2 linked regions of the Coturnix japonica genome follow. The protein of the gene in region 1 interacts with the protein of each later gene in a biochemical or structural test. Links are inferred from orthologs where the notes say so. Each region holds a gene or a part of one and is shown in the gene's direction. Other genes may lie near its edges. The genes, in order: MIB2 and CYLD.

Region 1 (3,813 bases):
ATGTGTGAGAGATGAGACATACCATATATGATGAAAGCTTTGTTGTTCTAAAGCCTGAACTGGATTTATCTGTGTTACACCATATTCATGGATGTATGATATCAGGCCATGGCTGAAGGACATGCCCATGTCTTTCATGTCAGCAGAAAATTGTTTTTGACTTCAGATGAGTTTGGGATCATGTGCACACAAGGTTGGCCTTTTAAATAGCTACCATTTCAGGTTCCACATGCCAGCTGCCCATCAGCTGATATTCACTGTGGTGCTTTCAATATACACTTTGTAGCTCTTGTCTGCTGACTGAAGAAGTGAATACCCCTTACTATGGGCAGTAATGATCAGTACCAGTTGGGACTTGTTTTATGCCCACTTGTTCCAGGAACACAAGGTTTGAATCTGCTGTTTATACACTGAAGGATCATCTTGCATTTTGTGAATGCAAAACTGTGCTTTCAGATAGTCACTATGATGATTAATTTTAAACTTGGTACAGCTACGTAACAGAATCTTTCTATTAACAGTGTGTTTCTTAATGTATTTTAGCTGCAGGCTTCTGGCTTTCTTGGAAACACAGAGCTGAATGTTGGGACTGCAATTGCGTGTTACTTAGCACAGGAAGGAGCAGATATTAATTATGCAAACCATCGGGGAAAGTCTCCTTTAGACCTTATTACAGACGGAAGGATTGTCCAAATCATCAAAGACTTCTCGCAGAAATTCAGGTAAACAGTGTCCTGTGGAATAGCTCCCTGTCAGGAGGCTGAGTTGGTCTCACTAGTGCAATGAAGATTGATAAGTTTGTGCTACCTGAGCATCTGCATTTTTGTCTTCACATGGAATTGTTTGCCAGGGATCAAAACGATTTTATCAGCTCACTGAATTTGATTACATGTTCTCGGTTGCAGGGAACAGCAGGTTTCTTCAGACTGCTCAGCCATCACCTGCAGCCTTCGCCGCGTGCACACCACCCCCAACACAATGACCAACCTTAGTGTCTCAAGTGTGGCAGTCCCCACAGAGTGCCTGGTCTGCTCAGAGCTGGCCTTGCTCATCCATTTCTTCCCATGCCAGCACAGCATTGTGTGTGAGGGTAAGTCCGTTCTGTCTTTCTTTTCCTTTCCTGTTCTGCCACGTAGCCTCCCTGATTCATAAATCAGAGTCTGTTGGGATGCAAAGCTGTCCATGAGCTGGAACAGCCCCAGCATGATTTCAGCACTGTCACTGTAGATGGAGTGTCCAGAGCCACAGAATGGAGAGCTGTATGGCATCCATAGCACAGCAGTTCTGGCAACACAGAGCATTGAGAAGTCGTGTTGTGTTTGCTACTGCATAGGATAGACTGAAGTGAGAGACGAGGATGTAGCTCAAAAATAGAAGGCAGTGTCCTGATTTCCATCTCTTGATTATCCAGGGAGTCCTCAGGCCATGTTCTCGAGTCTATTGTCTTCCTATTGTTCTTGCAGCAGTGGGCTTAATTGTATCACTCCTTCTATCATTTTGGTAGAATGCTCCAGAAGAATGAAGAAGTGCATCAAATGTCAAGTGACAATAACCAAAAAACTCAAGCAAGGTATGTTTGCTGTACGTGTTTGTCCCAGCAGCAATCAGTGGTTCTCAGTGGGGGTAAAAAGCCCAAAACATAAGAAATAGAGTTAACTTATTTTTTTTGCAGGAGTGGGGGAGGAAAGGGGATCTGGTACCCATAGCATTAGTGTTAAACTCGTCCTTCATGGAATCAGGTTTTCTGTCCTGATGCCTGGACAAAAGCACAGAGGAACAGGGTCCAAGGATCTCATTAAGGTCCACTGAATTCTGTGCATAGTGTTGACTGTAGGACTCTGCTTCGTGTAGCTGCTTCTATGCATGTTGATGTAGGTGATGTCAGATGGTTTCTTGCTTCATACCTCGTGTGTCCTGAAAGACATAAGGGGAAAATTAAATCCAAAGTGTAATCAAGGAGGTTGAAAGAACACAGTACTGACATCAGTGTGAGGATTCATGGACTGTGTGGCAAAACGTCATAACCAGCTTTGAAAGCTTTTACTTAAAGGTAGCACCAACATATTGCAGAGCAGCAAGGCAGGAAGTATCAGACAGCTTGGATTAAGCAGCAGAAGAGAGGAAAGCACCACTGGCCAGTTGATAAAAAGCATCATTTCAGGCTATCCAGAATCCCTGGATAAGGACTGAACAAACTGCTGCTCTTGGAGTGACAGTCTGGTTAAGGAGACACTGCATGAGACAGAGCACAATAGCAACTAACTCTCCCTGCTCTCCCACCCCTGCAGACAGCACCGAGGTGGAGTGCAGCCCCAGCTCTGAATCCACAGATCAGAGGAAGCTCATGGAGGAGCTGCAGAACCGCTACCGGCAGATGGAAGAGCGCATCACCTGCCCTATTTGCATCGATGACCAAATCAAACTGGTCTTCCAGTGCGGACATGGCTCTTGCCCAGACTGCAGCACAGCCCTTACTGTGTGCCCCATCTGCCGGCAGGCTATCCGGGAGAGGATTCAGATCTTTGTCTAAGGATATGCTTGCTTCCCTTTCTGTTCCCACCTCCTTTACATCCTTTTTGTTTGCATTTTAGATGAGAAGCGCTGCTCGGTCTGGCTACCTGCAAAGCCATTGTGAAAGAGGGGGGGAAACAAATGTGACTTAGGTGAAGGGGTGGGAGTGTCCTCCACTTGTAGCACTGTAAGGGCAAGGAATGGTGCTGGAGGGCAGGCAGCCACCTCACCTTGTGCTGCCTGTCCTTTGGAAAGACACGAAGTAAAGAACGCTGAGCTGTCTGCTGGAGGCAGAAGAGACTTTCAGCCCAGAGGCCAACAGACGTTTGGAGTTTGGAGTGCTCCAGTGACTGCATCGTGTCTAGTGCCCTGCAGTGTCAGACTTGCAGCCTTTCGTTGCTCTGAAGGCGATGCTGTAGGAGGATGTACCTTCTACCTCGGCAGGTAAAGCGTTTGCTTGTGCTTTGTGCAAGGAGATACCGGAGATCAGCCGTGGCCATTGGTTTTCCTTGCTGCCTGTCAGTGGTAGGGAGGTCATGTCCTACGACAGCATGCTCTCTGAACGAGCACTTGAAGGCTCGACGAGATTTGGACTGACAGACAAATGTGGCTGTGATGAGATCCTAGAGACAGAGTGTGTGTGTGCCTTAGAGATAAAGTAGTGAGCACTGATTGGAGAAAATACGTTGTTACAACAAAAACTTCTCTAAGTGACACTCTTCCATGTTTTCTTTTTTTGCACAACCGTGCGTTCAGAGACTCCTGAGCTTTCTAACCATGATGCCAAAGGCAGGTGTTCAACGCTCCAATCAAAGTGTAAAGAAAAACAGAGTCATAATTAAGAAATGAGAAGGGTTTTCGGTTTTCGTTTCTTTGTTTTGCAGCAGAACTTAATAAAATAAAATTATATTTTCCTGAGCATTAAAATGAATGTACAAACAGTAGCTGAAATGTGGATCTGGCTGTACTTGTGTTTTCCAACTGTCTGACTGAAGAAATATTACCTGGTGATTCTGTCCTGTAAAGTTACTGTTGGCAGAAGTGGCCACCTGTAGGGTGTGTATGTATCCATATGTGTTTGCGTGTGTGGTGTACATCTTTAATGACACAATTATACACAAGTGATGCTGTTTGTTATACCTTGCAAGCACTATTTAAGAAAAGAAAAACCAACCAACCAACAATACTGTGTTCCTCTGCTATCTTTCTTCGTTAGCAAAGAGATGGCAAGTATTTGAATGGATGGAATCCTTGTGCAATATGTGGTAGCTATGGATATGGCTGTTTCTTCTTCTCCATCCC
Region 2 (4,453 bases), on another chromosome or scaffold:
GTGTCAGTGGCATGCTACAGGGTGGGAGCAATAAGGAAGACTGCTGAGATCAGATAAAGGATCCTTATCTGCCTCATAGTGTAGGCATTTGAAAGGTTTGAGGTGGTGGCAGCAGATAGGCTGAGTGCATCTGGACATGAATTACTTTCCTATACAAGAGATATATTTGACAAATTAGGTCAGTTATCATTACATTACCTCACAGCATGTCAAATCATAATTCTAAATAGATTTAACATTTAAAATGCATTCTGATATTACAGTACAAATCAAGCTCCTTACAGTTGCTATGTGGGCCAGTCAGATGCGCAGGGAGCGTATAAATTGAGGAACAAGTCAGTAGGGTTCACTGCTGCTTGGGAAGACTACATAATTTATACCACTGATTGTTTACTGGTAAACAAGTGTCCTCTGTGATAACTCCTCAAGATAAAAAGAAATGTAAGTGCATAAACCAAATCTGCTTCTTTTTCCTGTCATTCTCTCTGAATTAATGTTTTACCTTTCAAATCCCCGTGACCCTTTGTTCTCCAGAGGAGAGTAAATAAAAATAAACTTATGTTCTTCCTTTACCAAAGTTTGCCAGCATCAGTTCTGAGAATGAGGCCATCTGTCATGTGACTGAGCTCTACTCCTTGCCCACCCATTTGTTTCCTTCCTCCCAGATTTCTCTCTTCATCATTTCCAAATAACACACTTCTCTTCCTGGCTGCGCCTTCTTTGAGTCTCTTCTTTTGATCATCACAATTTAGTTTCACGGCAGACTTCATAATCTCATGGGCACCAGAGCCCTCTGCCAAGGTTTATGCAGATTTAAAGCCTGGATTAATCTGGCCTGGTATTTATATAAAATGTTCTGAACATGGCAAGCACTATAAAAGCACTGTACGTTATGACTGAGTCCATGGAAACCCCCTCTGCTAACTCAGCACATATTAAGCTGCTGCTCCTGGAGGTAAGGTGAAGTGACAGAAACAGCCAAATCTCATCTTTGGAGATTGCATCATTTTTTCTCTCTTTCGGTCTTGTCCTTATTTTTTTTCCTTCCAGGGTTTCTGGAAGAAGCTGAATAGAAGAGAGGGAGATCCCCTTCAAAGATCTTAGCTCCTGAGAGGCATTGTTTGACAGATTTTGGCACAGCCTCACACTGTTTACTAAGCACCTTTGAAAGCAGGTAGCCTTGGAAGAAACCTTTCTGGGGAAATAAAATCTTGATGCAGGGGAGGCTGCTTTCAAGCTCTGGTCTGGCACCCATGTTGGGGGAAGGCAGCCTCCAGGTCCTGGTTATCCCAGCAACCTGAAAGATCACAACACAACAGAGGGAGCTGTAGGAAGATGAATGGTGACAACAGCCCAAGGTTAGTCGATGTGTCTTCACCTTCCATGTTAATAACAAGGGGATAATGCTTGAAATAAGATGTTGTATGGGGAACTGTTAATCACAGCCTGAACCTCTGATTAACCATCTGAGGCAAGTGATGGGTCAGCTGCAGGAGCACAGGTGAAGGTAATTCAGCTGTTCTCCTGGAAGGGTGGAGCTTGACTCCATGTCTCCTAGATCCCATTTAAGGGCTGACCACCCCTAATGCAGCATTTCTTTCTAGAGGTCGTTTCTGTGTGGAGTTTCTACAGTGAGCCTCAAAATGTGTGAGCATCTCGACCATGTGCCTCAACATTGGTGAGTCTTTCCTATATACTTCTGTCTATCCATCTATTTCACCTTTGTATAATTACAACTGTACAGATGTGTATATATTGCAAGGCACTGGAACAGGTTGCCCAAAGAAGCAGTGCCTGCCCATCCCTGGCTGCATAGGGCTCTGAGCATCTGATGGAGCTGTAGGTGTCCCTATGCGTTGCAGGAGACTTGGGCTAGTTGGCCTTTAAGGGTCCCTTCCAACTCAAACAGTTTTGTGGCTCTGTGCTGTGTGGTAACTGTTTGGTCATGGCCTGAAGCACTGATTGAGCACCTGTGATAAGGACCTGCTCAGGCCTGGGAGCACAGGTGAAGGCAATTCAGCTGTGTGAGCAGAAGGGGTGGAGCCTGGCTGCACCTCTTTTAGACCTCATTTAAAAACTAACTGTCACAGGGGAAAGGGTCTTTGGTTGGAGGTCTCTCCTTGTAGAAGCTTTCCCTTGTGAAGCTGGAATCTTCTGATAGAGGTGAGCAATCTTCTTCCCTTCTTTTATTGTAGATTTCTATTGTGCTGGTCCTTCTGTCATCACACCACTGTTGTAATGCCTTTCTTGTTGTATTGATCTGTCCGGTTGCTACAAATGCATTCTGTTTAGGATATATTTACACCTTTATGTGAATAAATTATTGGTACTTCAAAGTATTGTACAGTAGTCAGAATCAAAATGTGCTCAGCTCTCGTTTTCCCCACTGGGAGTGCAGCTACCTAAGATGGAGTCAATAAGCTTTTCCGGCACTGTTCAGAAGGCATTATGGGTTCATTTATTTTTACTTCCCTCCCCCCATTATTTGATAGTTCTTTTAAGAGTTGCGAGTTTTACTTAGTTCCTTTTGATCAGAAGGAAAAGGTACTGTAGGAACTGAGGCGCTGCAGTGACTCTGGCTTTGAACTCACCAGGTCTAAAAGCCTGCAAGAACGTTTTCCCTTTCAGCTTTCCAGCCAGCTCATAGAGCTTGCTGGCTGATAAAGGGCTCTGTTAAATTGTCCTGAAGGACAGCTAGAGAGCTAGGCACTGTAGTCTGAGCTCACAATGGAATTGATACATGTATATATTTAGTTTAATCGTATTAAAATGTAAACATCAGGCTTGAGGTGTGTGTATGTATATAGATATCTATTTAATTTCAAGCAATTCGATCCTTTCTGTTTGTTATAGAAGTTTATTTTTCATTCTCACGCTTGCAGAGGCGCTGCCTCCTGCAAATGCTGCAGCTCCATCTTGTGGCAACGCGGGGTGGAGGCAGATGGGAGAAGTTAAGAAACCAAGGAAAGGCGTTGGGATTGAAACTTGTGTTTTGGGAAAAGCTATTTGGGGCTTCGTTTTGGGTTTCTGAGGCTACTTGAGCACTGCTCGGAGTGAAAAGCATTTAGACGACAGTCGTTTGAAGAAATCAGTTGATCAGAGCAGGCCATCTATTTCTCTTTATTTTTCCTTGCCTGAGTAGCCACAGACATACAGGTGTGAATTACTGATAGAAGGTTACGTGTTTTAAACTGTGTGCATCTATTACCACGAGGTTCTTTGAAAAGTAGCTTTTATCTGAGTTTCCTAAAATGTCTGGCAAATATTTATTAAGCATCAAAACACCCAAATCTGTTTGCTCTGTGCATTCATCAATTCATGTCTGTCTGCCTTTCCACAGTCTATAGAGATTGTGTGTGCATTTTCATATGGACAGTAGAGCTTATTCTGCTCTCAATTATGTTATAACAATTTATTTAGGTGTATTCGCTCTAAACTGTCACTGCTTTGACATGAAATGAGTGTCTTCATATCTGTATATATAGCAAATACACGCTAAGCATGATGAACATATGCTGCAATGTCATCTTAATGCAAACAGCGGGTTGGTTCTCTTGGGGTTCTCACCTCAGCCAGATGGGAGCTGACATTGAGTATTTTACACCGTTGCATCCGGGTTTAGTTTTTCAACACATCTAGTTCTTGCCTTCAATCTAATAAAAAATAAACAGTCTTGATTTGCTCAGCTGCTGTCTGGGCCACAAAACCTTTCTAGATTCCAGTTTGTGTCCTGAGCTGGACTCCCATGCTGCTTGTATGTAACTGTTGAATTCAGTAAATGTATTTAGCCTTATTAAGATTCAGAAAAGCAAATATTATCCTCCAGTGATGCAGCAGATAACAGCAGTTAATAACAAGTATGTGATAAAGATCACAGGATTCCCTGTAAACAAGATGCTGCATTGCACAGAGAGCATCTTGTCTGCATATGTTTCATAAGTAACTAGGCATCCTCATGGGCTTCTTTAGTTATTTTAGAAAGTTGTGTAAACAGCATTATCTACTTAATGCCCCAAATGATATAATAATTGATATGGAAATGGGGCAAAGCTCTATAGATTGTAGTACAACTCTCTGTGGACTCTGGAAGATGATCTGCCCAGATTTTATTTAAATTTTATTCTGGCTTGTTTGCATGCAGCCTGTGGTTTGTTAAATATGCTGGGCAGATGCTGGTTGGGCAACGTTGGCTTTTTTTGGCCTTTTCTTTTAGAAATGCGATTTTATACTTGGATTCTGTATACTTCAGAGCTAAGTGTCAGTGACAATGAGAAGAGTAAGAGCCTACTGGAAAGCTCTGGTGCATTGTGTGTTGTTTGTTTCGACTGAATGGCAGGGAAAGCAGATCATGATGGGTTGCTAACAGCTATGATACTCCTAACAGCTATGATACTCTACTGTTTGTCTCTTTCTTTTGGTGTAGATTGCAAGAGCAGGAAAGAGAAATACTGGA

The links.
Region 2: of the proteins of MIB2 (region 1) and CYLD, one has a biochemical effect on the other in vitro, tested with the Homo sapiens proteins (2 studies listed by BioGRID, with this or other methods). The link is inferred for Coturnix japonica from reciprocal best matches to the Homo sapiens genes MIB2 and CYLD.

What each region holds. Positions count from the first base shown.
Region 1 is NC_029536.1:1,724,118-1,727,930, reverse strand, and holds the end of MIB2 (E3 ubiquitin-protein ligase MIB2), read left to right. Parts: intron 1-543; coding exon 544-722; intron 723-905; coding exon 906-1,090; intron 1,091-1,504; coding exon 1,505-1,570; intron 1,571-2,288; coding exon 2,289-2,530; 3' UTR 2,531-3,695; downstream 3,696-3,813. UniProt on the Homo sapiens protein: E3 ubiquitin-protein ligase that mediates ubiquitination of Delta receptors, which act as ligands of Notch proteins.
Region 2 is NC_029526.1:5,132,383-5,136,835, reverse strand, and holds the start of CYLD (ubiquitin carboxyl-terminal hydrolase CYLD), read left to right. Parts: upstream 1-1,606; 5' UTR 1,607-1,678; intron 1,679-4,453. UniProt on the Homo sapiens protein: Deubiquitinase that specifically cleaves 'Lys-63'- and linear 'Met-1'-linked polyubiquitin chains and is involved in NF-kappa-B activation and TNF-alpha-induced necroptosis.